4 linked regions of the Stegostoma tigrinum genome follow. The main gene of each other region encodes a partner of the protein of the gene in region 3 in a complex. Links are inferred from orthologs where the notes say so. Each region holds a gene or a part of one and is shown on either strand. Other genes may lie near its edges.

What was found.
Region 1: washc5 (region 3) and washc3 share a complex: the UniProt entries of both Homo sapiens proteins name them as parts of the WASH core complex. The link is inferred for Stegostoma tigrinum from reciprocal best matches to the Homo sapiens genes WASHC5 and WASHC3.
Region 2: washc5 (region 3) and washc4 share a complex: the UniProt entries of both Homo sapiens proteins name them as parts of the WASH core complex. The link is inferred for Stegostoma tigrinum from reciprocal best matches to the Homo sapiens genes WASHC5 and WASHC4.
Region 4: washc5 (region 3) and wash1 share a complex: the UniProt entries of both Homo sapiens proteins name them as parts of the WASH core complex. The link is inferred for Stegostoma tigrinum from reciprocal best matches to the Homo sapiens genes WASHC5 and WASHC1.

What each region holds. Positions count from the first base shown.
Region 1 is NC_081371.1:60,015,468-60,023,092, forward strand, and holds the start of washc3 (WASH complex subunit 3), read right to left. Parts: upstream 3,001-7,625; 5' UTR 2,957-3,000; coding exon 2,906-2,956; intron 1-2,905. UniProt on the Homo sapiens protein: Acts as a component of the WASH core complex that functions as a nucleation-promoting factor (NPF) at the surface of endosomes, where it recruits and activates the Arp2/3 complex to induce actin polymerization, playing a key role in the fission of tubules that serve as transport intermediates during endosome sorting.
Region 2 is NC_081378.1:53,491,651-53,499,637, forward strand, and holds the start of washc4 (WASH complex subunit 4), read right to left. Parts: upstream 3,019-7,987; 5' UTR 2,992-3,018; coding exon 2,931-2,991; intron 1-2,930. UniProt on the Homo sapiens protein: Acts as a component of the WASH core complex that functions as a nucleation-promoting factor (NPF) at the surface of endosomes, where it recruits and activates the Arp2/3 complex to induce actin polymerization, playing a key role in the fission of tubules that serve as transport intermediates during endosome sorting.
Region 3 is NC_081358.1:47,566,348-47,574,332, reverse strand, and holds the start of washc5 (WASH complex subunit 5), read right to left. Parts: upstream 3,001-7,985; 5' UTR 2,675-3,000; coding exon 2,489-2,674; intron 1-2,488. UniProt on the Homo sapiens protein: Acts as a component of the WASH core complex that functions as a nucleation-promoting factor (NPF) at the surface of endosomes, where it recruits and activates the Arp2/3 complex to induce actin polymerization, playing a key role in the fission of tubules that serve as transport intermediates during endosome sorting.
Region 4 is NC_081371.1:25,519,434-25,526,433, forward strand, and holds the start of wash1 (WASH complex subunit 1), read right to left. Parts: upstream 3,001-7,000; 5' UTR 2,769-3,000; intron 2,763-2,768; exon of another isoform or gene 2,582-2,762; intron 1-2,581. UniProt on the Homo sapiens protein: Acts as a component of the WASH core complex that functions as a nucleation-promoting factor (NPF) at the surface of endosomes, where it recruits and activates the Arp2/3 complex to induce actin polymerization, playing a key role in the fission of tubules that serve as transport intermediates during endosome sorting.

The sequences.
Region 1 (7,625 bases), on a different chromosome or scaffold from region 3:
GTAGCCCTTGATTCCTTGCGAGATCAAGAATTTATCGATCTCTGCCTAGAAGACATTTAATGTCCCGGCCTCCACTGCGCTCCGTGGCAATGAATTCCACAGGCCCACCACTCTCTGGCTGAGGAAATGTCTTATGGTCTTATAACTTCTTCCTGGAGATATTATACGCCTGATGATCAGAGGATTCGATAGGGTGGACAGTGAGAGCCTTTTTTCTCAGATGGTGATGGCTAGCATGAGGGGACATAGCTTTAAATTGAGAGGAGATAGATATACAACAGGTGTCAGAGGTAGGTTCTTTACTCAGACAGTAGTAAGGGCAATGGAATGCCCTGCCTGAAGCAGTAGCAGACTCGCCAAGTTTAAGGGCATTTAAATGGTCATTGGATAAACGTACGGATGATAATGGAATCGTGTAGGTTAGATGGGCTTCTGATTGGTTTGACAGGTTGGCGCAACATCGAGGGCCTGTAATGTTCTATGTTCTATGATTTATACATATTCAGCTTTTAGAAATCCCTTCAGGGTTTTATCTAACACTTCTGGTCTGGGACTGACACTGACTCTTCACTCTGAGATAAGCTAGTTCATGATAACTTTCCCTTCTCAAAATCACTGGACCTAACCACCATCCTTATTGAACACTTTCACAGGGCTTCCTCACTCATAGTCAAACCGAATCTAAAAGTTCCAGTAGTCACAAACAAAACTCGAAGATCCATTATTTATCTTGCTAATCATAAAACAATCTAAGATAAACACAAATCCATTAGCTGTGCTCAAAAACCCATTCACTCTAAAGTTAGACCTCAAAAACAATTTTAAAAGAAACCACAATTTCTGAGCCAAAGACTAGATATTAAATACAAACCAAAAGAACTGCGGATGGTGTAAATCAGGAACAAAAACAGAAGTTGCTGGTAAAGTTCAGCAGGTCTGGCAGTATCTGTGAAAAGAATCGGAGTTAATGTTTCAGGACCAGTTCTAATAAAGGGTCACCAGACCCAAAACATTAACTCTGATTTTTTCTTCACATAAGTTGCCTGAGCTGCTGAGCTTTTCCCCCATCTTCTGCTTTTGTTGTGGACTAGACATTAAAGTTGCAGACTGAGTTTGGGGCTGCAGTTGGGGATCCATATCAAAGTTTCGGGATCAAAACTAAGGATTAAGTATTAAGATACATAGAATGTAGGAGCAGGAATTGACCATTTGATCTCTCAAGCTTGCTCTGCCAATCATTATGATCATGGTTAACATCCCTTAACCCTTTTAGCCACAAGAGCTTTACCTACCTCTTTCTTGAAAACAGTGTTTTCCACTTGCTGTGCTAGCAAATTCCACGGGCTCACCACTCTCTGGGTGAAATTTGTCCTAACCTACTAAAAGGTTTATCTTGTATCCTTAAGATATGGCCCTTGGTTCTGGACTCCAACAACAGAAACATCCTTCTAGCATTTAATCATCCAGTCCTGTTGAATTTTACAGATTTCAATGAGATCTACCCCCTCATTTTTCTGAATTCCAATGAATACAATCCTAACTGACTCAACCTCTCCTAATATATCTTCCTGCCATCCTAGGAATCAATTCAGTGAGCCTTGACTGCACTATATCTAGAACAACTGCATTGTCCCTCAGATATTGAGGCCACAACTACACACAATATTCCAGATGCTGCCCTACCAAGGCCCTGTATAACTAGAGTGAGACATTCCTGCTCCTGTACTCAAATCCTCTCGCTTTGAGGCCAACAGGGTCATTTGTCTTCTTTACCTTCTGCTGCACCTGTGTGCTTGCTTTCAGCTCCTGGCGAACAAGGTCACCCAGGGCTTGTTGATCATTCTCCTCTCTCAATTTAGTCATTCTTGTAATAATCTGCCTTCCTATTTTTCCTACTAAAGCATATAACTTCACATTTATCCACATGACATGATCTGCCATGCATTTACCAACTCACAGCCTGACCAAATCACATTCTGACATCTTCCTCACAGTTCACCCTTCCTCTTTGTGTCATCTGCAAAGTTTGAGATATTACATTTAATTCCCTCATCTAAATCATTAACATTTAATGTGAATTGCGAGGGTCCAAGTACCAATCCCTGCCAATATCCCACCATTTATTTCCACCCTTTGTTTCCTGTCTGCTAACCAATTTTCAATACACTACTCTCAGATTGATGTGTTTTAGCTTCACACATTAATTTCTTATATTGGACTTTGCGGAAAGGCTCTGAAAATCCAAATAATCCACATCCCAGCTCCCCTGATCAACTCTACTAGTCACATCCGTTGAAGAATTCCCGTACATTTGTCAAACATGATTTCCCTTTTGTAAATTCATGCTGACAGGTATTTAGAAGTTATAATTACATGCTGACATTAGGATTTACAGGTTATGGTTAGTGGGTAAGGATTAGAACATAGAACATAGAACAGTACAGCACAGAACAGAATTAGGTGTTAAAGCTGCGGTTTAGGGGTTTACGTTGAAATTAAGGGGTTATGGTGGGGATAAAGGGGTTAAATTGGATGTAAGGGGGTTAGGATTATTGTTAAGGGGTTATGGTTGGGGTTAGGGTTGGGATCAAGAGGTTAAACTGAGTTTAAGGGGTTTTGGCTGGGAATTAAAGGGTTAAATTGAGTTTAAGTGGTTATGGCTGGGATTAAAGGTTTAAATTGAGTTTAAGGGGTTACGGCTGGGAATTAAAGGGTTAAATTGAGTTTAAGGGGTTATAGGTCAGGTAGGGGAAGGACTCAGGCTGCGGTTAGAGGTTAAGACTAGGGTTTATGGGTGGAAGTCGAAGGTTAGGATAAGATTTAAGGGTTACAGGCTCTCAGTTAACTTTTAAACTATCGCTGATGAAAGCACAGCTCCAGGGATCCCCTGTCTTTCCCCCCTCACCCGGGTCAGGTCGATCCCTGATCCCACCAACGGGAGTCCGTCCGCGTCCATTCCGCCCGGAAACAGCTCCTGACCCCCTGACCCGGAAGGGAAGCTTCGACGGGCAGGGGCGGGAGCACGCGCGTGACCGCAATCACCCGGGGCCGCCAGGGCCGAGTGTGTCACCGTCACCGGGCCCCAGGCCTCGGGCCTAGTGTCCCACCGGAGAAACCCCCATTTCATCACCAGGAGGAAGAGAGCACCCGGTGACGTTCAGATTGACAACAGTCTTCAAAGGTGCTGGAGAAACTCAGCAGGTCTGGCAGCGCCTGTGGGAGAGGGACACACACACTGAGACCTCCCTTCAGACCTGGGGGGAAAACTAGGACCCAAAGGCCTTCCAGGGAAGGCAGGAGGTGGGCAAAGAAACGACAACATCGCCAGACCTGCTGCGTATTTCCAGTAACTTCGTTTTAGTTCAGAAAGGTCCTTGTTTCTGATTGTAGTACCTCAGTTAATCCACCATCTCCTGTTCATTTCTATATATTTCCCACAGCGTTTCCTCAGTTCCCCCGATTCCTCCTCGTAGCACAGGCGCCAACCCGTGATTGTCAATCTGACCAGTTAAAGATGCAGACTCTTTGAACATAAACGGTGGCTATTTGCCGTCTAAGCTTTTATTTAAAAAAAATTGTGCCGAGGGATGTGTTTGTCACTTTGACATGGCGGAGAGGTTTCTGCACTCCGATTCTTTGACCGATGCCGTCGGGACGTGGCATCAAGGCTGGGGACGGAGGCGTCAAAGTGCGGTCCAAACAGTCCTCTATGGCAGATAATAAAGTGTGGAGCTGGATGAAGGGTCTAGGCCCGAAACGTCAGCTTTTGTGCTCCTGAGATGCTGCTTGTCCTGCTGTGTTTTTCCAGCCTCACACTTTGTTATCTTGGATTCTCCAGCATCTGCAGTTCCCATTATCTCTGATACAATCGTCCTCTATGGCAGAACAGGCGAAGAAAAATCACACGAATTGTAATGGTGGAAAAAGCTGCAGATGCGAGACAGTGCTGGTGTTAGCAGTTCAACACATCACTGAACTCTGACAACAAACGGCTCGGTGGTTTGCACTACAGCCTCACAGCGCCAGGGACCCGGGTTCGATTCCAGCCTCTGTGCGGTTTCCTCCCACAGTCCAAAGATGCGCAGGCTTAGGTGGATTGGCCATGCTAAATTGCCTGTAGTGTTCACGGATGTGTGGGTTCCAAGGGGTGGTGTGAACTTGTTAGGCTGAAGGGCCTGTTTCCACACTGGAGGGAATCTAATCTTTTAAAAAACACCAGTCAAAATCACATGGACAATGGTAACACCCCAAGATCCCTATACTAACATAGCAAAAATGTTTTTTGCTAACCATAATCTGGTTTCCAAGCCTTGTGGCAATGGAAATTCGGCAACAGGTTCAGGGCTGTGAACACGAAAAATAATCTGCTGTCATGAGATGGAGGTCACTGGGCACCTATGTTGGTGTCATTGACAACAGTATCTGTGACTGAACAATTCCCTTCAGAATACCTTCTGTTCACCCTAAAAGGGAAGGGGAGCTAGAAAAGACACCCTAAAATTAGGCTGACCCACTATCTCCTGGCAGGGGAACCATAATCCCGTGGGATTACCATCTTGGTGGTCAAAGAGAGAAAACTTTAAATTGCATAACTTGGTATGTTGGAACATGAGAGGTAATCTTAAGAGTTACCATCCGGGAGGAAGTGTGTACTTATATCATGTGAACTATCAAGTTTCAATATTATCATGAGGTAGTAGGAACTGCCGATGCTGGAGAATCAGAGATGACAAGGTGTAGAGCTGGGTGAACACTGCAGGAAAGCTGACGTTTTGGGTCAAGACCCTTCTTCAGAAATCTGGGTCTCAACCCGAAACATCAGCTTTCCTGCTCCTCTGATGCTGCTTGGCCCGCTGTGTTCATCCAGCTCTACACCTTGTTATCTTTATATTATCATCCCTGCCCTCAATGACATCTGCTGTCCTGGGAAGGGGCATGTGTGGGGAAAGACACCTACTGGAAAGACAAAAGTAACAAGTGACCCTTGTGTCCACAGAGTTGATTTGCCAAGTGGAATAGGATCTTGGAGTCATTGCTTGAACTCCCTATTTCAATAAATGAAATGTATTAACATTATTTCACCTTCTCCTAGACTATCAAACCAGCAGAATAAATGTTCTTCTTTCAAATTAAAACAAAATATTGCAGATGCTGGAAATCAGAAACAGACACAGGGAATGCTGGAGAAACTCAACTGGTCTGATAGAGTGGAGAGAGAAACAGTTAATGTTCTGAGTCCAATATGACTTCTTAAGAACAATTCTGCCAGCGTTTTGTGTGCTTGTTAAACAATTTCCTCAAGCTACTCTTATAAACTTTCTAAGAAAAATCCGTCAAATCATCCCTAAATTTTCTATAATCCAGGGAATACAGGTCTAGTTTGTATAATCTGTGCTCTTAACCATGGGAGCCCAGGTAACATTTTGATGAATCTAAAATAACTCCTTCAATATCCTTCCTCATAGTCCCATTAATCATTCCATTGGAGCACTTCCTATTTCCTTTTTTTACTCTGGTGGCAATTCAGTACATACTTTTTTTCTGTACCTCGGCAGAATCTGGATAGATAGGACTTGGCTGTTCTTGTTGTGGAAAGCCCTTGAAGACAGACTGTGATCTTTGTCTTTTTAAATAGCTTCTTGTTTTTCTGACCTACAGTTATACGGTGTATAGTTTTAAAGTAACTTTTTATCTTCATTTCTGTTAAGAATTGTACCAAGGCACTGTGTACCTAAGATGGCACTGTAAGTGGTGATTTGTAAACTTCTCACTGTACTTATCTGAGTACGTGACAATAAAGCTAATTCAATTCAATTCAAATTACTGAAAGCTAACATACTGGTACAAAATTCAGTTAAGACAACAAATGGTATGTCGGCCTTTATCGCAACAGCATTTAACTACAAGGTTTACAATGTCTTTCTACAATTGTATAGAACCTTGGTGAATATTCACATGTGGGATGTGGGCGCCACTGGCTTGACCAGCATTTGTTGCTTTTCCCGAGTAAGACCTTGAGGAGATGGTGCTGAGCTGCCATGGACAGTTGTAGTCCATGTGCTATAGATATGCCCATTATGCTGTTAGGGAGGGAGGTATAGAAATTTGACTCAGCAACACTGAAGAAATGGTGATATATTGCCAAGTTAGGATGGCACATGGCTTGAAAGGAAGCCTGCACATGGTGTTTCCATGTATCTGCTACCCTTGTCCTTCTAGATCAGTGATTACAAACCCTTGCAATAACATGGCACACTCCAATGAGACATGTAAAAATTCCATGGCACACCGACTTTTTTCAGCTGAATTGATTGCTCATAAATGTCACATTTACTTGCATTTACTTTGGTTACAGCCTTACTAGACAGGTTTGCAAGATAATGCATACAACAAATTATCCATTTCATCTTCAACTGTGTTCTAAGACTAGGACTAGTGGCTTAACTAAAACAAATTCGAAGCATATTCACCTCAAAATCTGTGCTAAAATGGAAACATATCTAGGCAGGTAGTCCAGCTCAACAATTACACAAGTGACTGTTTACTATGGACATGCAATTTCTTCTCATCTTGGAGATACAATCCTTAATCATTGCATATGCTCCGACCAGATGTTTGGATCTGCCTGTGCAACCAGGCTTCATAAGAAGTGAATATCCCACCTTCCGCACATGCAAGGTATCAGAAGTCTATGTGAAGGGGTGCTGCTTCCCGAGAATTTCATGGCACATTTCTCACCTTTCCACATTTGGAAAACTTCTGTTCTAGATGGAAGTGGACATGGATTTAGGAGGTGCGGTATAAGGATCTTTGGTGAATTTCCGCAGTAAATTTAGTAGATAGTATACGCTGGTCCTCCTCAGTGTCAGTGTTGGAGGGAGTGGATGTTTGTGGATGTGGTTACACTCAAACTGCTGCTTTGTCCTGGGTGGTGTCAAGCTTCTTCAGTGTTGTTGGCGATGCACTCATCCGGGCAAATGGGGAGTATTTCATCACACTACTGACTTGTACCTTGTAGAAAATGAACAAGCTTTGGGGAGTCAGGAGATGAGTTACTCACTGCAGTATTTCTAGCCTCTGACCACCTTTTATAGCTACTGTATTTATATGCCTAGTCCAGTTGAGTTTCTGGTCAATGGTAACCCCCAGGATGTAGACGGTGGGGGATTTAGTGATCTATTGCCATTGAATATCAAGGGGAATGGTTAGATTATCTCTTATTTGCATTTGGTAGATGCTAGTGTTAGTGCTAGTTGTATGGCAAGTTCTGGAGCACATGTCTTAAGTACTGTTGCTGGAAAGTTGTCAGGGCCCATTGGCTTAGCAGCATTTACTGTCTCTAACCAATACTTGATATCATGAGGAGTAAATTGAATTAGCTGAAGTCTGGTATCTGCAATGCCACAGCTTTGGAGGAGGCTGAGATGGATCATTCATTCAGCACTTCTGGCTGAAGATTGTTGCGACACTTTTATACTGATATGCTGGGTTCTCCCATAATTGACGATGGGGATAATTGTTGAGCCTCCTCCATTGATTTATTTAATTGTCCACCACAATTCATAACTGGATATGGACTGCAGAGCTTCGTTCTAATCCAATACCTGGAGTACTTTGTGCAGTTC
Region 2 (7,987 bases), on a different chromosome or scaffold from region 3:
AAAGCTGGTCAGTTTAATATTAGAGGTAGGTAAAATTTAGAAAAAATGAAAGCAATTAGAATGGGGACTTGAAGAGGTGCAAATTAATTTAGAAGAACCCACTTGGATTTTAAAAGGCAGGATGTAGTTGACTAATAGGCCTTCTTACCCTGAAGTCATGAGACAGGATGAAGGGAAAGCAAAGAACATTGCCAAAGTGATGTTTAGAAAAGTTTGACATCATACTACGTTAAACAGGCTGGGTAATAAAACTGAGGTTCATAAAATGAGGATCAGTGTCAGGGTAGATTAAAAAAACGGGTGCTATGGTTAAGTTGTTTATAGACTGGAAAGTCAGTACTACAGCCAATTTTTGTTTGATATATAGATATAATACAGTATTAATGCCACAGTTATTAAGGGCATGCAGAAACAGAGGGAACTGGCAACTCATCTGCATAGATCCTTGAAGATGACAGTACAAACAGCAATTAGGAAAGTATACATCATGAGCTTTAGGAAGTAGACAAATTGGGTACAAAAGCAGGGAACTTGTAGTAAATCCTTATAAATCTTTATAAACCGCTGGGCTATATGCTAGTGTGGAAATATGAATTCTGAAAATGCTGAGAAACAAGTGGAAGGTGGATGTCAAACTGTTGTAAAAGCTCAGATCAGGGTTTGGCTAATTGCAAGCTGAGAGAAATATCAAGTTTTGAGAAGATTTGTAGCTCAGGTTGAGGTTCTGGATGTGAGTTTGCTCGCTGAGCTGGAAGGTTAGTTTTCAGACGTTTCATCACCAAACATCACCAGTGAGCCTCCGACGAAGCGCTGGTGTTATGTAAATAGAAAGCGGGACATAACACCAGCGCTTCGTCGGAGGCTCACTGATGATGTTTGGTGATGAAACGTCTGAAAACTAACCTTCCAGCTCAGCGAGCAAACTCACATTTAGAGAAATATTTTTGTTTGTCGATCTCCATAACAAGACATCAAAGATAAGAACTACTACGTTGTGTTGACTACGTTAAAAAAAATCTCCTACGCAATAAACAAATGGCAGTGTGCAAGCAACATGTAACTTAATGAAATACTAATGGGTATTGAGGTTGGTTGTATCGCTGAGCTGGTTAGTTGTTCCTCAGATGTTTCGTTACCCTGCTGGGTAATATCATCCATGGTCATGGACAGGACCAATGTCATCTAGAAGATCCCCTGCAGAGACTGTGAGAAACACTATATTGGACAAACAGGAAGGAAACTAACAACAAGAGTATACGAACACCAAGTGGCTACTAAAAGACATGACAAATACTCACTCATCTCAATCCACTTTCAACTGGAAGAACATCAAAATCCTGGGACAAACTAAGCAGAGACAGGTGTGGGAATTCCTAGAAGCCTGGTACTCCACGAAGAAAGCCATCAATTAACACACAGAACTTGACCCCATATATACTCCACTACAAAGGAAAACCTGAAGTAAGGCAATCCAGCTCAATGGACTCCAGAGTTTAAAAACCAGGCGGGAAAACACACCAACACTTCATCGGAGGTTGCACTGACGATGTTACCCAGTAGGGTAATGAAACGTCTACGGAGCAACAAACCAGCTCAGCGAGCCAACCAACCGCAACACCCACAACCCGAGCTGCAAATCTACTCCAAAACCTTGGAGATACTAATGGGTAATAATGAAATTATCATAAAGTAATCAGGTTGGTGAAGTCAATGGTAAAATCATCAGAAACTTAATGTAGCACCAGGCTAGACATAAAAGGGTACAAGAAGTGTCCTGATCCTCAACACAATTAAGAGAAGATAATAGTCAACAGACACACAGGGCAAGAAGAATATAGCAAACGCCAACCAACAAGTCCAAAGAAGATGTCAATAGGAACAGATGGTAACAACTAAGTAAACACCATTTTGTCATGTTACTTATATTTCTACCAAACATACATACTACTGCTTATGCCAAATACCTCTGACATGCAGTGTTCATATTTATTATAATAAAAAGGTTCCAAACATTATTTTGAACTCAAAAGACCTAAACTGGAGCACTACATCTAATTTTGGTCACAGTGCCTGCAGAAGAACATGAGGGCCCACAGAAGGGTGCAGTAAAGATTTAACAGAATCAATCACTGGATCTTTAATCCTAGCTGGAGAATCTGGTGGTTTGCCTCGTTGAAGCAAAAGAGATCATGGGATGTCTAACAGATGTAGAATGCCAGGTTTAGATAAAACTCAGGTATTTCCATTATTTGATTGCACAAGGACAACAGTGCACAGATTGAAGATTTTGCATAGGAGATTCAAAGGGCAAGAAACTCTACTAATGAGGGTATTGGAAACTGATACAGTTAATGATTTCAAAAGACAAATGGAAACTCTGTTAAAGGGAAATAGATTTGTGGGGTTACAAGGATAAAACAAGAAAATAGAACTGACAGGTTTGCTCTAAGAGAGCTATGAAGAACTCATTATACCAAATGATCTCTATTATGATGCACCCATCAATTAACAGACCGAGGAAGGGCAATATCCGAAACGTTGACTGTTCCTTTCCTCCAAATGCTGCCTGGCCTGCTGTGTTCTTCCAGACTCCCGCTTGTCTAACCACTTAACAGACTGCACTGAGACACAGTAGACCACAGATTACATTCCAGCGTTAGGAACTGCTGCAAACAATGTTCACTGTACCGAATCGGATCAATGGTTAAGATCATTAGATGCTGATGATTTAGGGGAAACTGACAGCCCAAGGCTTGGGGGGAAGAGAATAGTGGAAAGAAGAAGAGTCCCTTCTATGGTGGGAGGGGGCAGATTGGCCGGGGGGCGGGGATAGATGAGAAATGGAAATTAGAAGAGAGTATTTCTCTGGGAAAGAAGGCTTTTCTTTCCCCATAGCAAAGCCCGGGCCTGAAGCACAGCTCGAAACTCACTCTGGGATCCTTCATCGAAGCGGTCAAACTCCCAGTCCCGGGCCTGAACATCCAACGCCATCTTTACATCCCGTGACCAGACCCAGGCAAGTCCCGCAACTGCACGCACTGCGCCAGCGCTCAGCCCCAATGCCCTCTGGGAGATGTAGTTTTCAGGTGAAAGGTAACAGGCTTAATTTTCTGAGATAATGGGAACTGCAGATGCTGGAGATTCCAAGATAATAAAATGTGAGGCTGGATGAACACAGCAGGCCAAGCAGCATCTCAGGAGCACAAAAGCTGACGTTTCGGGCCTAGACCCTTCATCAGAGAGGGGGATGGGGGGAGGGAACTGGAATAAATAGGGAGAGAGGGGGAGGCGGACCGAAGATGGAGAGCAAAGAAGATAGGTGGAGAGGGTGTAGGTGGGGAGGTAGGGAGGGGATAGGTCAGTCCAGGGAAGACGGACAGGTCAAGGAGGTGGGATGAGGTTAGTAGGTAGCTGGGGGTGGGAGGAAGGGATGGGTGAGAGGAAGAACCGGTTAGGGAGGCAGAGACAGGTTGGACTGGTTTTGGGATGCAGTGGGTGGGGGGGGAGAGCTGGGCTGGTTGTGTGGTGCAGTGGGGGGAGGGGATGAACTGGGCTGGTTTAGGGATGCAGTGGGGGAAGGGGAGATTTTGAAACTGGTGAAGTCCACATTGATACCATATGGCTGCAGGGTTCCCAGGCGGAATATGAGTTGCTGTTCCTGCAACCTTCGGGTGGCATCATTGTGGCAGTGCAGGAGGCCCATGATGGACATGTCATCAAGAGAATGGGAGGGGGAGTGGAAATGGTTTGCGACTGGGAGGTGCAGTTGTTTGTTGCGAACTGAGCGGAGGTGTTCTGCAAAGCGGTCCCCAAGCCTCCGCTTGGTTTCCCCAATTAATTTTCTGGCCTGTGAACTTAAATCAAAACTAACTTGAAACCTGAACTGTGTTTCTCCCTCCACAGATACTTTAGGATCTGCTCAATTTCTTTTTAGCACTTTCTGCTTTTATCTCTGTGTGAATGTGTTGGGGCAGGAGGCCGGATTCGGTTAGGAATTAAAAACCTGATTATAAAACTGCTTCATTTGCTGTTTGAGATGTCCAGTATTTCTGAGAGGTACTATATAAATGCAATGTTCAATCATGCTTTAAACGTAGTTAAAGACCCTTTGGGCCATGATGCCTGTGCTGACTCTAAGCTTATTCCACCATTTGCGAATACTAGTGAATATGATTGGTGAACTATAAGCACGTACAGCATTTTGAAATCTGAAAATTATCCTGCAATGAAGAATCTACTGATGACCATGAAGCCATTGTCGATTGTCAGAAAAAACTATTTGGCTCACTAATGTCCGTCAGGGAAGGAAATCTGCCATTCTCACCTGGTGTCACCGACATGTGACCCCAGAACCACAGCAATGTGGTTCACTCTCAACTGCTCTCTGAAATGGCCGAGCAAGCCACTCTGTTGTATCAGTCACTGCAAAGTCTCAACAAAGAAATGAAACTGGCTGGACCACATGGCATTGACTGAGGCACTGGAATAGACAACAACAGAAACAGCCCTGTAAACCCGGCAAAGTTCTCCTTACTAACATTTTAGCCTAATGCCAAAATTGGGAGTGTTGTCTCACAGCCTAGTCAAGCAGCAGCCTGACCTAATCATACTCATTGAATCATATATCATAAGACAATATCCTGGACATCAACATCATGAACAAAATAAAAACAGAAAATGCTAGAAACACTCCGTAGGCCTGGCATCATCTGTGGAGAGAGAGCAGAGTTAATGTTTCACATCCAGTGACCCTTAGAAGACGTCACTGTCTTCTTAGAACAATCCCATCACCATCTTTGGACGTGTCCTGTCCCACTGGTAGGACAGGTGGTGGCACAGTGGCATGCAATAGGGAAGGAGTTTTTCTGGGTCCCCTCAACATTGACTGCAGACCCCATGAAATCTCTTGGCTTCAGGTTAAACATTAGCAAGGAAACCTCCTGTTGGTTACCAGGTACTGTCCTCCCTCAGCTGATGAATCAGTACTCCTCATTGTTGAACAACACTTGGAGGAAGCACTGAGGCTAGCATGGGCGCAAAATATGGGTGATTTCAACGTACACCCCCAAGGGTGGCTTGGCACCTGCACTCTGGTTAAGCTTGTTTTTTATTCATTTGTGGGATGGGGGCATCACTGGCTTATGAGCATTTATTGCCCTTCCTAGTTGCTCTTGAAAAGATGACGTCTTCTCGTACTGCTGCAGTCCATGTGCTGCAGATAGAGTCCACAATGCTGCTTGGGTTCTAAAGGATACAGCTGTTATACTGGGTCTGCAGAAAGTGGTGAGAGAACCAAAAAGAGCAAAAAACTTACTGTAAAATTAGGGAGGCAACAGCCTAGTGGTATTATAGCTGGACTGTTAATCCAGAGACCCAAGTAATGCTCTGGGGACTCAGGTTTTGAATTCTGCCCTGGCCAATCTGGAATTAAGCATCTAATGAATTTATGAATCCTTGCTGATTGTTGGAAAAAAAACTATGTTTTAGGGAAGGAAACTGCAATCCTTACCTGCTCTGGTCTACACGTGACTCTAGACAGACAGCAATATGGCTGCCCTCTGGGATGGCCAATAAATGATGGCCTGGCCAGCAATGCTCTCACCCCTTAAATAAACAAACAAAAATATATTTAAACTCATCCTTACCAATCTACTCGCTGCAGATGCATTTGTCCATAGCAGTATTAGTAAGAGTGTCCACTGAACATTCATTGTGGAGACAAAGTCCTTACTTCACAATGAGAAAAATCTCCTTCGTGTTGTGTCGCACTATCATTGTGCTAAATGAGACAGACTTTGAACAGATTTATCAGTTCAAAACTGGGCAATTGAAGAGGTGCTGTGAGCCATCGACAGCAACAGAAATTGTACTTCAGCATAATCTGCAACCTCCTGGCCCAGCATATTCCCCACTCAACCAATACTATCAGGCCAGGTGACCAAGCCTCAGGGCCTTGATTGGGTTTTTTGAAGAGGTGACCAAGAAGATAGATGAAGGCAGAGTGGTAGATGTGGTTTATGTGGACCTTAGCAAGACCTTTGACCTGGTTTCACATCATAGACTGGTTAAGAAGGTTATATCACAAAAGATTCAGGCGAGAGTTAACCAATTGGATACAAAACTGGCTCAACAGAAAGAGGTAGAGGTTGGTGGCAGAGGGCTGTTGTTCAGACTGGAGGCCTGTGAACACTGGTGTGCCGCAAAGAGCAGCGCTGGGTGCACTGTTGTTCATCATTTATATACACATTTTGGATGAGAATGTAGGAGGCATAGTTAGTAACTTTGCAGATAATGCCAAAATTGGTGGTATAGTGGACAGTGAAGAAGATGATCAAACAGAACAATGGGATCTTGCTTAACTCAGCCAGTGGGCCAAAGAATGGCAGATGGAGTTTAATTTAGATAAATGTGAGATGTTATATTCTGGTAAGACAAACCAGGCAGGACCTACACAGTTAATAGAAAGGCTCTGGGCAGTGTTGTTAAACAGGGAGACCTTGGGGTGCAGAGACATAGTTCCTTGAAAATGGCATCACAGGTAGACAGGGTGTGAAGAAGGCATTTGGCACGCTTGCCTTCATTGGTCAGAGCATTGAGTGCAAGAATTGGGATGTCATACTACAGTTGTACAAGGCATTAATGTGGCCACACTTTGAGTACTGCATACAATTTTGATCACCTTGCTATAGAAAGGATGTCATAAAAATGGAAAGAGTGTGAAGAAGATTTCTGAAAATGTTACTGAAACTGCAAGGTTTGAGTTATAAGGAAAGGTTGGATAAGCTGGCACTTTTTCGTGGAGCATTGAAGGCTGAGCCATTATCTTATAGAAGTTTATAAAATCATGAGGGGCATAGACAAGATGAATAACAAAGGTTGTTTTTCCCCCAGACTGGGGGAGTTCAAAACCAGAGGGCGTAGGTTTAAGGTAAGAAAGATTTAAAACCGATCGAGAGGCAACCTTTTCACATGGAGAGTGGTGTGTATATGGAAGAAGCTGCCAGAGGAAGTGGTAGAGGCAAGTACAATTATAGTATTTTAAAGACATTTGGACAGTGACATGAATAGGAAAGATTTAGAGGTATATGGGATATGTGGGGGCACATGGAATTAGTTTAGTTTAGGAAATCTGGGCATCATGGACATGTTGAGCTGTGTGACTATGAATCTAACCCTGGTTCAATGGAGAGTGCAAGACGGCATGCCAGGAGCAGCACCAGGCATACCTGAAGATGAGGTGCCAAACTGGTGAAGCTACCAAGCAGGACACTTGTATGCCAAGCTGCATAAACAGCAAGTGATGAACAGAGCTAATTAATCACACAATCAAGGGACCAGATTTAAACTCTGCAGTTCCGCCACATCCAGTTGTGAATGATGGTGAACAATTAACAACTCACTAGAACATCAGCCTTCCCAAATATCCCTATCCTCAATGATGGTACAGCCCAAAACATCAGTGCAAAAGTTAAGGCTGAAGCATTTGCAGCAGTCTTCAGCCAGAAATGCTAAGTGGATGATCCTCCAATGGTCCTCAGGACTTTAGATGCCAGTCTTCAGCCAATTTGATTCACTCCATGTGATTTCAAGAAATGGTTGGAGGCACTGGATACTGCAAAGACTATGGGCCCTGACAACATCCTAGCAATAGTCCTGAACATTTGTGCTTCAGCAATTGCTGTTCCCCTAGCCAGGCTCTTCCAGTGCAGTTACAACACCGGCATCTACACAAAATTGCCCAGACACATCCTATGCACAAAAAAAGGACAAATCTAACTTGTCCAATCACTCATCACTCTACCTCTCGATAATCAGCAAAGTGATGGAAGGTGTCATCAACCGTGCTATCAAGCAGCACCAGCTCATCAACAACATCCTTATTGTTGCCCAGTTTGGGTTCCGCCAGTGCCACTCAACTCCTGACCTTATTGCAGTCTTGGTTCAAACATAGACACAAGAGCTGAATTCCAAAGATGAGCTAAGAGTG
Region 3 (7,985 bases):
GGTGTCCTTTCGAGAGGACTCATATCCTTGGATATTTAGTTCCAGTTCTGATCCCTTGCAACCACATCTGTGATACCCACAGCATCGCACATGCCAATTTCAATCTGCGTTACAAGTTCATTTAGCTAACTTCTTATACCTCATGCACTTAAATACAACACCCTCAGTCCTGCATTAACCACCCTTATCCGCTGTACCTGAAATTAGTTGCCTGACCCTTTCCATACACTGAGATAATAAACTGTGAGGCTGGATGAACACAGCAGGCCAAGCAGCATCTCAGGAGCACAAAAGCTGACGTTTCGGGCCTAGGCCCTTCATCAGAGATGGGGATGGGGAGAGGGAACTGGAATAAATAGGGAGAGAGGGGGAGGCAGACTGAAGATGGAGAGTAAAGAAGATAGGCGGAGAGAGTATAGGTGGGGAGGTAGGGAGGGGATAGGTCAGTCCAGGGAACACGGACAGGTCAAGGAGGTGGGATGAGGTTAGTAGGTGGATGGGGGTGCGGCTTGGGGTGGGTGAGAGGAAGAACTGGTTAGGGAGGCAGAGACAGGTTGGACTGGTTTTGGGATGCAGTGGGTCGGGGGGTCGGGGGGGCGGGGGGGGGGGGGGGGGAGAGCTGGGCTGGTTGTGTGGTGCAGTGGGGGGAGGGGACGAACTGGGCTGGTTTAGGGATGCAGTTGGGGAAGGGGACATCTTGAAACTGGTGAAGTCCACATTGATACCATTAGGCTGCCATCCACCTACTAACCTCATCCCACCTCCTTGACCTGCCGTCTTCCCTGGACTTACCTATCTCCTCCCTACCTATACTCTCTCCACCTATCTTCTTTACTCTCCATCTTCAGTCCGCCTCCCCCCTCTCCCTATTTATTCCAGTTCCCTCTCCCCATCCCCCTCTCTGATGAAGGGTCTAGGCCCGAAACGTCAGCTTTTGTGCTCCCGAGATGCTGCTTGGCCTGCTGTGTTCATCCAGCCTCACATTTTATTATCTTGGAATTCTCCAGCATCTGCAGTTCCCATTATCCCTTTCCATACTCTGTTCTATTACTTGTTCTGGAAGCTTTCTTAACTTCTGCTGAGGATCCCTCCACACTTAATGTTTTCCATAATTTTCCATGCAACTGAACCCCTGAACCCCACAGCCCACTATTGAGTTTATAGTCCAAAAGCCTGGTAGATCCAGGTTCAAATCCCACTTGCTCTGGAAGTGTGTTGCAATATGATCTGAGAAGTTGATTACAAAAATAAATACCCAACATCAGCACTTTTGTTTAATTTTTGGCAGAAGACATTTCTTTTTATTTGTGCAGAAATCAATCTGCACTTTACAGCATATCATTGACTTTAAAAGGTCCATATTCTTTTCAGAGATAATGGTTTCAAAGATACAGCAAATGCAATTTGCACTCTTTTAAAATGCATCACTTTTTGAAAGTGCACCAACAGCTAGACAGCCTTCACATCGCAGGCATATGTCACTAATGGCTTGATGTCTGAGTGCAAATGCTCATATATGGACAGGATCAGTGGCCATTTTAATGGCAGTACCCCAACTACTGCATCAGGAGCAAACACTCTGTTTTGATACACAAGACAACAACTAGTTGAGAGAGATAATGGGAACTGCAGATGCTGGAGAATTCCAAGATAATAAAATGTGAGGCTGGATGAACACAGCAGGCCAAGCAGCATCTCAGGAGCACAAAAGCTGACGTTTCGGGCCTGATGAAGGGTCTAGGCCCGAAACGTCAGCTTTAGTGCTCCTGAGATGCTGCTTGGCCTGCTGTGTTCATCCAGCCTCACATTTTATTATCTTGTAACAACTAGTTGAGTCTGTTTTTACTGAGTACTTTTCAGATAAAATGCCCCAAATTTTGCACACGAAAATATTTCATTCCTCCTTTCCTTCAAAATCATGCAGAGTTCTCAGTGATGTAGCCAATACCTATCGACCAATGATCTCATAATTGCTGGACCTTACAATACACCAATTAAAGCTTTAAAACTGAATTGGGGGGGGGGGGGGGGGGGAGAGAGGGAAATGGTGATGTAGTAACATACACTGTCATTGAAAAATAAAACTAAACATAGTGACAACAGGAAGTACAGTTTTTGGGCAGGAAGTGCACGAGATTTTTTATACACAGGGAGTCAAATGTGATTAATATTTCACCCACATGATTTTCAATGATGACAATTCAACGTTAAATTTTGCTCCCTGTATTTTTCTTCCATTTTAATGCCTGCCTGTGATCTCTGTCATTGCTGTACTCTAGTTATAAAGATTACTGCTTCCAGGTTTGGGAGTCAATGAAGATTTGGTGAATCTTAAAAAGCCTGATGGGTGGCAACTGTGTAAAACATTAAATCCGTCACGTTAATATCAGTGGGCAAACATAAGCTTTGTAATGAACCTCTAATCTGATCGTTTTCCAGCAGATACCAACAGCATATCCGAGGATACTGAAGACTCAACAATTCTCACCTTGAAGTAACTGAAGTCGCAGATGATGTCTCCATACTTCTGCTGTTCGGCCTTGTCTCGGAGTCTGTAAACGGTCGGGATAAACTCGGACAGTCTCAAAAGTTCTGCTATGATGGCATTACCGCGGGACACGATCCTGAGAATTGCCTGCCCACAGAGATTGTTCTCTGCCAAGAAGTCTACCATGGTGGAAGGGGGAAAATCTCCCACAGCCCTGCGGGGGGGTCGGCAGCAGCAACTGAGGCAGAAGAGCCGGATACCTCTAGATTTATTGCACCAACTCTGTTATCATGCTTCCCCTTCTGTCTGCAGCCTTTCCCAGCGGCAGCGAGCAGAAAGGGACGATATAAACCCAGGGACGGAGTCACTCAGTCTGCGCTGCTGACCCGCCGCATCTTTCGCACTGGTACAATACAGGGGAGGAATGCTTCCACACCGCTTTTACCAGGGTTCCCACAGACGCTGTTCAGCCCAGTTCTTCCATGTTGATCATATGATTTCCTTCCTGTCAACTCAACATGTGACCACCAGGCGCAGTCCAGTGATGTTGAGCAAGCCGGCAGGTCCTCAGCGTCAGGTTTGTCGTTTGTGAATCAGTTAAGCAACACCCACTTATCATCCAAAACCACGCAAAAAGTGCCCTTTTCCTTTTGTTTATAATCTGGACATAACTCGTTAAAAAAGACCGAAAATTAACTTTGAGTCTTCTTCCTTTGGAGAGTATTTTAAAGGTTGATCTCATTTAATTTTTGCCAAATCTAAGCTGTGGTTTGCACAAAATTCTGTGGGTGGTGCAACAAATGCTCTTGGAATTGATCTTTGAAAAAAGGACTGGTACAACAACAATTTTCACCTTTGAAATCACTAATATAAATGCAACATAGCAAGGACCAGTACAAGGCATCTGCCTTTGACAACATCGAAAACAATCACTTTATGCGTTACTGAATAATTGAGAGAGTCATTTCGGAAATTTGAGTACTGAAATTGTGGGAAGTTTGTCATTGTCATCACCAGTGCAACAAATTGGAATTGTGGAAAATTCATTTCTCTTCCTGACTCGGCCTTTTCTGTCCTGAAGGCATTAAATGCTACAATAGGACATCAGAGCCTCCTTCTTCAAGTTTTTTTCATGTGTGAGGTTAGGCAGTAGTCAGTCACGTGATCAACAACAAAGACAATATTTCCCAGTCCTGCCCTCTCCCAATGTTTATACACAGGTCACTGGATCTTGATGAGGTATGAGAGTCTAAGCTAATGTTGCCTCTTCCTGAAACAGAGTGGATAAGCACCCAACTATGAGAGCTAATGAGCACACTTACAGCTACACGAAGTGCTGTCTTCACACACTAAGTTATCAAGAGTGTTAAAACAAATCAAATGATCTTCAAGTGTGATATAGTAGTCAAATTATCCTAACTCCACAAAGGAAAAAAAAATTGAAAATCTCCCTCTCCTGTCTGTGCATGTCACACTTCAAGCCAGGAATAAATCTGGTGAATGAAAGGAAGAACTAAGAGCAATCTGAAAATAAAATTGTGAAGATAAGGGAACTTTCCTGTTTCTCCAAGGATAGCAATTTCACTTTCTGTTGGCACTGGTATCAGGTGAACTCTTGCTTCAGCATCAGGCTGCAACTCTATAAGTGAGAACATTCCTGAAGAATGGAAATAAATCTCTGAAACGAGATCCATGAGGTTCCTGAGTAGCACTGAGGTCTTCATGTTTCATACAAGATCGGAGGCCAGTAGGACATTCAGAATGTATCACCCACCTACTAGAGTTAATCTCAGCTGAATATTTAGACTATTAAGATGCTGAGGGCTTAACAGCTGCACTTTCTTTCCATTTATTTCTTCAAAAGATCACCATTCATTTACATGTTCTCTGTTATTGACAAAGGCTTTCTTCTCTATTGCAGTCTGCTGCAAAGATTTCTGTTCCCTTTTCATGAGTTTCTTTTCTAAGTGTGAAGTTACTCCGATTCTTACAAAACGTTTTCTGCAGTTAATTGTTCATTCTCTGACTGGAACGTACTGAAAAACCTCACGAGGTCTGCTGAAACCTTCTGCCTAAGACTCATCTGGTTGCGATAGGGCATTAATAGTAGCACAGTTGGGCTTCCACGACTGGGTTTTTGATGGGTGGCACATGCCAAGTTTGCAGTTTCCCTTGATGCTGAGCATCCACCACAAGTACGCTTTAAGGACTAAGAGATCGGGGATGTTGGACTGCATACAGCAATTTGGAAATTTTGCCTACACCCATAAAACACTTAAAAGATTAGCAACTTATTGTAGTTCAATCAGAAAAGAATACAAGAGAAACTTCAAGTTTTTCCACAGACAGTGAAGTGACTGCCATTTTTGAAGCCTCAGATTGTGAAGCTATGAACAGATATTCAATCATTCATGAAAGAGATCACAGGGCTCAAGCATACACACCAAAACTTCAGGCAGAGTGGATATTACCCCATTTTATTAGAAGAAATCAACTGTATATAGCACATCCTTACAATGTTCAAGGAACATTATGATGTAATTGATACACCCAGAAACAGCCCATCAAGTTGTCGTTCAATGATTGTAAGCAGCTAATAAAAGGCTTTCCATAAAGAAAAATATGCTAAAAGACAAAGTTAGGAACTTGCCAATATTTAATGTTCACAAATTAATAACTACATAAGGGTAGCTGGAGTCTCATTATTCTCCTGTAAAAAAGAGATGGTTTAATTCCAGTCAAGGTATATTCCTTAAAAAGGAAAAGGCAGGAGAAACAAATCCAGAGCTCCTTGAATGAGAAAAGAGATAGAAATTAAATTAAAGACGAAAAATTGTGATTATGATAGGTTTCGGGTAGTAAATACAATTGAGAGCCAAACTAATACGGGAGTTTCAGAGGGAAGTGGAAAAGCAAATACAAGAAGATAAGGATTATGAAAAAAGGTCTGGCAGCAAACATTAAAGGAAATCCCAAATGTTCTCTGTAAACATAGTAACACTAAAAGGTTAGTAAAAGGACACCTAGGGCTGCTTCGGCACCAATTAGAAGATTTATACTTAGAGGTGAGGGGCATAGCTGAGGTGTTAAATAAACAATTTGCACGTCTTTATCTATGAGGTCTATGCTGCCCTGGACATGCTGACAAAGGAAGAAACTCAGTTACGAGAAGTATTGGATGAGCTATTGCTACTTAGAGTAGATTGATGCATCCAAGGATGTTGAAGGCACTGAGGGTGAAAATTACAGAGGCACTGGTGATTATCTTTCAGTGTCTCTGGATTTGACAGTTACGCCAGATGATTGAAAAATTGCAAATATTCCATCCTTCTCAAAAAATGATTGTAATTTTATGGTGACAATTATAGACTGGTCAGTAACTGTGGTGATGGAGAAACTTGGAGAAATGATTCTTCAGATAGAATTTATATTCCCATGGAAAAATGTGGATTAATTTAGAAGGAACAGCATGGATTTGCTAAGAGAAAATCACATCTTGCTAACCCTTTGGAGATTTTTGAAGGGATAAAGGAAAGGATTTATTAGGGGAAAGCTGTTGATGTTGTGTACATGGACTTTCAAAAGTCAATACACTTGTGGGGAATGTCATCAGTTATGAAATCAAAGGTACAGTAACGATGTGGATATTAAATTGTCTGAGTAATGGATGTGAGTTTGCTCGCTGAGCTGGAAGGTTAGTTTTCAGACAGTTCATCACCATTCTAGGTAACATCATCAGTGAGCCTCCGATGAAGCTTCCTAGAATGGTGACAAAACGTCTGAAAACTAACCTTCCAGCTCAGCGAGCAAACTCACATCCAGAAACTCAACCTGAGCTACAAATCTTCTCAAAACTCGCTGCCTGAGTAATGGTTAATGGCATTTTTTGTCTAGAAGAAGGTTTATAGTAGAGATCTCCATGATGTTTCCTGATATACCTGTACAGAAAATAATTTTGAAGTTTTCAGATGATGCAAAGCTTGGCAGAATTGAGAAACGGTGAAGAACACAACATACAACTTCAAAAGGACCTTGACAATTTGGTGGAGTGGACAAGAATTTGGCAGATACAGTTCAATTATGGAGAAGTCTGGGGTGACGCTCTTAAATACAAAAAAAATGGAAAAATGAGACTGCAAAAAATAAAATTCACTGCAGGGTTTGCAGAAGTAGTGAGTCAGGGGTGTATATGTACATAAGTCATTAAAGGTGGCAGGACAGGTGAAGAAAGCTGTTATTAAAGCATAAAATTTTCTAATCTTCATAACTAAAGGTATAAAATACAAGTGCATTGTGGTTATTATTACCTTAAATAAGACAGAGCTAACCTTAGATAGAGTACTGTGGACAGTTCTGGGCACCGTACTGTGGAAAGGATATAAGTGCATTGGAGAGAATACAGAGAGATTTCAGGGATGAGACATTTAAGTTATGAGGAAAGTTTAGAGAAATTGGGACTGTTTTCACAGACACGAGAAGGCAAAGAGGAAATCTGATACAAGTTTTCAAAATGATGAGTTGTCTGGACAGTGTGGGTATGGAGAATCAGTTCCCACTTATGAACAGGATAAGAACAGAAGGGACACAGCAGGCCAAGCAGCATCTTAGAAGCACAAAAGCTGACGTTTTGAGCCTTGACCCTTCATCAGAAAAGGGGGATGGGGAGAGGATTCTGAAATAAATAGGGAGAGAGGGGGAGGCGGACCGTAGATGGATAGAGGAGAAGATAGGTGGAGAGGAGAGTATGGGTGGGGAGGTTGGGAGGGGATAGGTCAGTCTGTGGAGGACAGACAGGTCAAGGGGGAGGGATGAGGTTAGTAGGTAGAAAATGGAGGTGCGGCTTGAGGTGGGAGGAGGGGACAGGTGAGAGGAAGAACAGGTTAGGGAGGCGGGGACGAGCTGGTTTTGAGATGCAGTGGGAGGAGGGGAGATTTTGAAGCTGGTGAAATCCACATTGATACTATTGGTCTGCAGGGTTCCCAAGCGGAATATGAGTTGCTGTTCCTGCAAACTTCGGGTGGCATCATTATGGCACTGCAGGAGGCCCAGGATGGACATGTCGTCTATAGAATGGGAGAGGGAGTTACAATGGTTTGTAACTGGGAGGTGCAGTTGTTTATTGCGAACCGAGCGTAGGTGTTCTGCAAAGCGGTCCCCAAACCTCCGCTTGGTTTCCCCAATGTAGAGGAAGCCACAATGGGTACAGTGGATGCAGTATACCACATTGGCAGATGTGCAGGTGAACATCTGCTTAATATGGAAAGTCATCTTGGGGCCTGGGATGGGGGTGAGGGAGGAGATGTGGGGGCAAGTGTAACACTTCCTGCGGTTGCAGGGGAAAGTGCCGTGTGTGGTGGGGTTGGAGGGGTGTGTGGAGCGGACAAGGGAGTCGCACAGAGAGTGGTCTCTCCAGAAGGCAGACAAGGGTGGGAGTGGAAAAATGTCTTTTGTAGTGGGATCGGATTGTAGATGGCGGAAGTGTCGGAGGATGATGCAT
Region 4 (7,000 bases), on a different chromosome or scaffold from region 3:
CTGTACAGCCACATGACCTCCAAACTCCCGTACTCAATGCACTGACCAATAGTGTCGAGTGAACCAACTGCGCTCTTCAGTACCCTGTCTGTCTGCAACTCCACTTTCAAGGGACTACAATCCTGCATCCCAAGGTCTATATGTTTAGCAACATTCCCCAGGACCCTACCATTAAGATGTACAAGTCCTGCCCTGATATGCCTTTCCAAAGCACAGCACCTCACCTTTGTCAAACTTAAAATATATCTGCCACCCTTTAGCTCATTTGATCAAGGTTCTGTTGTACTCTGAGGTAACCTTTACTGTCCACTACAGCAATTTTGGTGTCATCTGAAAATTTACTAACTATACCTCCTAGGTTCACATCCAAATCATTTGTATAAATGACAAAAAGCATTGGGCCCAGCATCAATTCCTGCGGCACACTGCTAGTCACAGGCCTCCAGTCTAAAAAGCAACCATCCACCACCACCCTCTGTCTCCTGCCTTTGAGACAATTTTGTATCCAAATAGCCAGTTCTCACTGTATTCCACATGACCTAACCTTGTTATTAGTCTACCACGCGGAATCTCATTGTTTATATGGACTTCAGTAAGATGGTCAATGTCCACCAGTCTGGCTTCATTCATCCTCTTCAAGCTTCATCAAGTTAGTAAGACACAATTTCCCCACACACAAAGCCATGCTGATTATCTTAAATTAGTCCTTGCTTTTCCAAATACATGTAAATCCTATCCCTCAGAACCCCCTCCAACAACTTGCCCACCACTGTTGTCAGGCTCACTAATGTATAGGTCCCTGGCTTTTCCTTGCTGCCTTTCTTAAACACTAGCGCAACGTTAGCCAACTTCCAGTCTTCTGGCACCACATCCGTGGCTATTAATGGTACAAACATCTCAGCAAGGGGTTCAGCAAATAACTTCCCTAGCTTCCCACAAATTTCTAGGATACACCTGATCTATCCCTAATATTTATCCACCTTTACGCATTTTCAGGCATCCAGGAGCACCTCCTCCGTAATATGGACAGTTTCCACACGTTCTCTAGCTTCCACATCCTTCTCCACAGTAAACATTGATACAAAATAATCAAGGACACACTCAGCCTCTGATCTTCAAAGATACTCAGACAGCATCTTCCAAGACCAGTTCCCATCTAAAAGGGCATAGGCAGAAGATATATGGGAACACCATCACATCCAAGTCACTCACCATCCTGAGTTGGAAATATATCACCGTTCCTTCACTGTCACTCAGTCAAAAACCTGGAATTCCCTCCCTAATAGCATTGCGGGTCAACCCACAGCAGGAGGACTGCAGCAGTTCAAAAAGGCAGCTCACCACCACCTTCTCAAGGGCAACCAGGGACAGGCAAGAAATGCTGGCCAGCCAGCAACATCCACATCCCACAAGAATAAAAAAACTTCAGGTAAATGTCCTCCAAAGCAGCCTTCAATGTACATAACAATGCAGAGTCAGAGTAGAAACCAATATCCAAGTTCCTCAACCATGAGGACAACCTCAATCATGATCTTGGGTTCATGTTGCACTACATGTAATCCTACCATTCTAATCTGTGTATAATCTTCCTTACCATTCTGTTTTGGCACCATCACCTTGATAACTTGTTATGATCTCAACCTTAATTAATTTATACAATTTTGGATTAATTGTTACCCTGGTTAAACCCTTGCAATGCAAGTCTTATATCTATCATGTTATTCCAGTCATTTAGTTTGTCTCCAGCACTATCCTAATTTTGATTTTTTTGTAATTATCAATCAGATCATAGGTCATCCCTTCACTTACACTACTTGTATTTATCTTTTGATACTCTTAATTACCTCCTTATAAATTCTGTGCTTGTGTGCTTCCCTCCACTTTACCTGACAAAGGAGCAACACTCTGAAAGCTTGTGATTTCAAATAAACCTGTTGGACTATAACCCAGTGTCAAGTGACTTCTGGCAAAATTCTTGTTCAGTATCTCACCCATCTGCAGTTCCACACAAAACATTGCTGATCTTTAAGAAGCCCATTTGCTCTCTAGTTACTCTTTTGTCTGTAATGTGTTTGTAGAAATGCTATGCATTCTCCATAACCCTGCTTGCCAAAGCTATGTCCTCTTTTTGCCCTCACGATTTCCCTCAAGTATAATTCTACTGCTTTTACATTCCTCTAGGGACTCACTTAATGCCTGCTGTCTGTACCTGATAAATGCTTCCTTCTTTTTCATAATCAGAATCTCAATTTCTCCAATCAACCAGCATTCCCTACATCAACCAGCCTTGCCCTTCACTCCAACAAGAACCTACTTTCCCTAGACTCCCATTACCTAAATTGTGAAGGCTTCCCATTTACAGCTGTCCTTTTATCTGTGAACGTCTGCGCCCAATCAACTTTTGAAAGTTCTGGCTTAATAACATCACCACTTAGCGACAACTGAAAGTGTTTTCACGATACTTGAGATTGAGGAAATAGACAGCGGATGTGTTGGTCAGAAAGAAGTGCTTAACGTCCATGAACGCCAGGGGTTACTGGTATCCGGTAGATGATTGAAACTGTAAACAGCTCGCTCTCACCCCAGTATCTGTAGATGACTGAAGCTGTGTTCCAGTCTCCGTAGATGATGTAAAACTCATCCCAATCGCTGTCGACGATGAAAGCAGTTTCCATTTAAAGGAACAAACTGTTGCATTTTCCTTGTCAGGAGGCCTGTGCCCACGCATGCGTACTTCACACCCGAGGTTTGCGCATGTGCATACTAACCATTACTTGCTGGACTCTCCCGAATAAAAAAACTAATTAATTAACGCCAACGCCGTCTTCTAATACTCTATCATCACATTTTCATTCTTCACTATTCAAACACAAACATCCTACTTCATAACACAAAGTTTCGAGCTCTAACGACCACAAGCAGGCATCTACGCTTGCGCATTGCTACGACATAGGCGCATGCATATTTTCTCCAGCACGGGCCCAACCAGCTCAGCCCAGCCCAGCAACACACAAATAAACCCCGCCCAACCACGAACAAACCCCACCCACCACCGCAAGCTCCGCCCCCGGATGTTTGTGATTCCTTGTCATCAACATTGAATGAAAATCCTTTGGCTCAGAGGTGGTGACGTTATTACTGCGCCGCAAGACAAAATGGGTCTAGGCCCGAAACATCAGCCTCCCTGATCCACTGATGCTGCTTGGCTTGCTGTGTTTGTGCAGCTCTACATCTTGTTATCCAACAAGACAAAACCTGGTGTGTTTATATCCTGCACACTAATAGCCATAAGACCATAAGACATAGGAGTGGAAGTAAGGCTATTCGGCCTGTCAAGTCCACTCTGCCATTTAAATCATGGCTGCTTCGCATTTCAACTCCACTTCCCTGCAATCTCCCCGTAGCCCTTAATTCCTTGTGAGATCAAGAATTTATCAATCTCCACTTTGAAGACATCCAACGTCCCGGCTTCCACTGCGCTCCGTGGCAATGAATTCCACAGGCCCACCACTCTCTGGCTGAAGAAATGTCTCCTCATTTCCGTTTTAAATTTACCTCCTCTAATTCTGAGGCTGTGCCCACGGATCCTAGTCTCCCTGCCTAACGGAAATGACTTCCCAGCGTCCACCCTTTCTTAGCCATACATTATCTTGTAAAGTACTTCAGTAAAGAAGTAATAGCACTTCATTTAATTTTACGAAGTTAGACCCTGTGTCTCTCTCATGGATGATTATGTGGTTGTCTTTTCAGTTATTCCCTGTGATTGCACACTCGAACTGCAAACTGGGTAGAATAACACTAAAACCAAAAGTCAGAGGAGCAGAAATAGGCCATTCAGTTCATGCAAACTGCTCTGCCATTAAATGACATCTTGGCTGATCCGATAATTCTCAACTCCACTTTCCTGCCTTCTCCCCATAGCCCTTGATTCCCTTACTAATTAAAAATCTGACTGTCTAAGCTTCGAATGTAGTTAATCCTCCAGCCTCAATAGCCAAAGGTAAAGAATTCCACAGATTGATAGAATACCCCTTGAGAGAATAAATTTCTCATCTTCATCCTAACTGGGAGAAGCCATACTTTAAGATTATGTCCTCTGGCCTTGGACTCTTTTAGTAGGGGAAGCAACCTTCTATGCTTGTTTAATCCCTAAAGAATCTTGTATGTTGCAATAAGGTTGCCTATCATTCTTCTAAACTCCAATGAGTACAGGCCAACTCAGCCTCTCCTCAAGACAGGCCCTCTGTAGCCGGCATCTGTTCACTTGACAGCCTCCAATGCAAATATATGCTTTCTTATATAAGGAGCCCAAAAATAGTTACAATATTCCTCAACTGTTGTCTGATGACAGTTGTTTTAGCAAGAGTTCCCTATTTTTATATTCGATTACCTTTGAAATAAAGGCCATCATTCCATTTATCTTCCTGATTACCTACTGAACTTAGATGCTGTATTATTCTGATTTATGCTCTAGAAATCCCAAATTCCTCCGTTCTGTAGCTTCCTGTCTTCTTTCACCATTTCACTAATATTCAGCTCCACTATTCTTTCTTCCAAAGTCATGTTACAAGCTAACTAGCCTATAGTTACCCATTTTTGCCTCATTCTCATTTTAAGTTAAGCTGTTCCAATGGCAGTTTCCCAATCCTCTGGGACTTTTCCAGAATCTAAGGTTTCTTGGAAGATTGCTACCTGTGTGACCACTATTCCTGTAGCTACTTCTTTTAATATCCTAGGATGTCTCCCATCAGGTCCAAGTGACTTGTTGATCTTTAGCCCCATTAGTTTTCTTGCTATTTTTCTTGTCATATTTAGTGTATTTATTTCCTCTCCCCCTTTCCCCCTTGCTAATTTAGTAATTTTGGAATGTTATTCATGCCTTCTGTCATGAAGACTGATGCAAGTACCTATTCAACCCTTCTCATCTGGTTGCCTATTGTTATTTCTTCAGCCTCATTCTCCAAAGGGTCAATGTTAACTTTGGCATGTCCCTTCCTTTTCATATATTTAGAGATGCTCTTGCTGCCCATTTGATATTACAAGCAAGTTTACACTCAAAGTTTATCTTCTCCACCTTTACTTTTTATTCCCAATCCCCTGGCTGATCACTAAGTGGTGCCATGTTGTATGTTTTTCCTTTCAGTTTGATGCTATCCTTAGCTTCCTTGGTTAGGCAAGATTGGGCTTATCTCATTCCTAGAGACTTTCATCCACACTTAGATGTATCTTTGTCATGAACCATGAACTATTTTCTTTAACATCTGCTCTTGTTGCTCACTCGCCTCTTCTGTTTGACTCTTTTCTCAGTTCAATCAAGCCAGCTTGCCCCCATTCTTTTAAATTGCCCTTATTTAAGTTCAGTTCAGTTGTTTTTAACCCAAGTTCCTCCCTCTCAAACTGAATGTTAAATTCTGCCATGATATGGGACCTTTTCCAAGGGGACCTTTTACTTTGACATCATTTATTAAACCTGCCTTTTTGACAATAACCAGACCAAAAAAGCCTGATGCCTGGTTGGATCCACAATACATTGCTCCAGCAAACTGTCCTAAATATGCCATATAAGCTTTTTCTGTGGTTGCGTCTGCCAATCTGACTATCCCAATCGACATGAAGATTAAAGTCACTCATGATTAACATACTGCCTTTTTAACATGCCCTCATTATCTCCTGATTTGTTCTGTGTTCCAATGTATAGCTACTGTCAAGAGGCCTATAGACTACTCCTTCAAATGTCCCATATTATTTGCATTTAAGTAACAGTCATGACCAGAAGGCACCTCAAAGCACTTTATAACTTTGAATGCTTTTTGAAGTGGTCACTATTTACTGCAGGAAATGCAGCAGCCAATATGTGCTCAGGAAGCTGCCACAAACAGCAATATGATACTGACCAGGTAAGCTGTTTTTACTTTAATATTGACTAAGGGATAACTGTTGACTGGGCCCCAAAGATAACTCCATCCTCTTTTAAACAACAGGTTCGTGGACAAGGGCATGCATATCTACCAGAAAACCAACCAGCACCCTCTTTGCATGCTGTATAAATAGTGTATCCTGGTTCAATCAGAGAAAGCAAGAACTGCAACTGCTGGAGTCAGAGAGCACACAGCATGGAGCTGGAGGAACACAGCAGGCCAGGCAGCATTGGAGGGGCAGGAAAAATGATGCTTCAGGTCAAGACCCTTTTACCTGCTGTGTTCACCCAGCTCCGCACTTTGTTATCCCACACTGTCTTGTCTCTGTCCCCTGGCTCAAGTCTTTTTCTGTGTCGTGGTTCTGATGAATGCAAAAAGCTTCATCTTTGTGTATCCTTTCAACAATGTTTAGTGACTTATATAGGTTCAATGTAACAGTGCTGCTCTCATAGTCTACATCCTTATAAATAACACTTGATATACTGTACGCATTGTTCACCAGGCCCTCAGCCTGTCCTGCAAATTCTAATGATTTATTTGTATGTGCACACAGATTCCTGAGCTTCTGCTCCCACTTTACAGTTGTGCCCTGTATTTTATATTGTTTCTCCATTATCTTTATTATTCAAAATGTGTCACATCACACTTCTCCATAGTGAAGGTTAGCTGCCTTCTTTCTGGCCACTCCACCAACTTGCCCATACCCTTTTGAAGTTGCATGCTGTCCTCACAATTTAAACTGCTTGTCTCATGGGTAGATTTTGAAATCGTCCCCATCACACCAAGGTCCAGATTGTTTGTAAATGTTAGGAAATTAAAGCATTCCAACTCTGATGCTTGGGAAACTCCATTACAAGTTATTTCCTAGCCCATCTATTATCTATTAACCATTACTGTACTCTCTGCTTCCTGTCACTCTGCTGATTTGATTCAGGTTGCTAATGTCCATTTTATTCCACGAGTTCTAACTTTGCTCATAAGCTTGTTGTGTGATATCGTATCCTTCTGGAAGTGCGTGTACATCACATGGTCATCCACCCATGCCATTACCTCTTTAAAAAAAAACTCCAATAAGTTGGTTA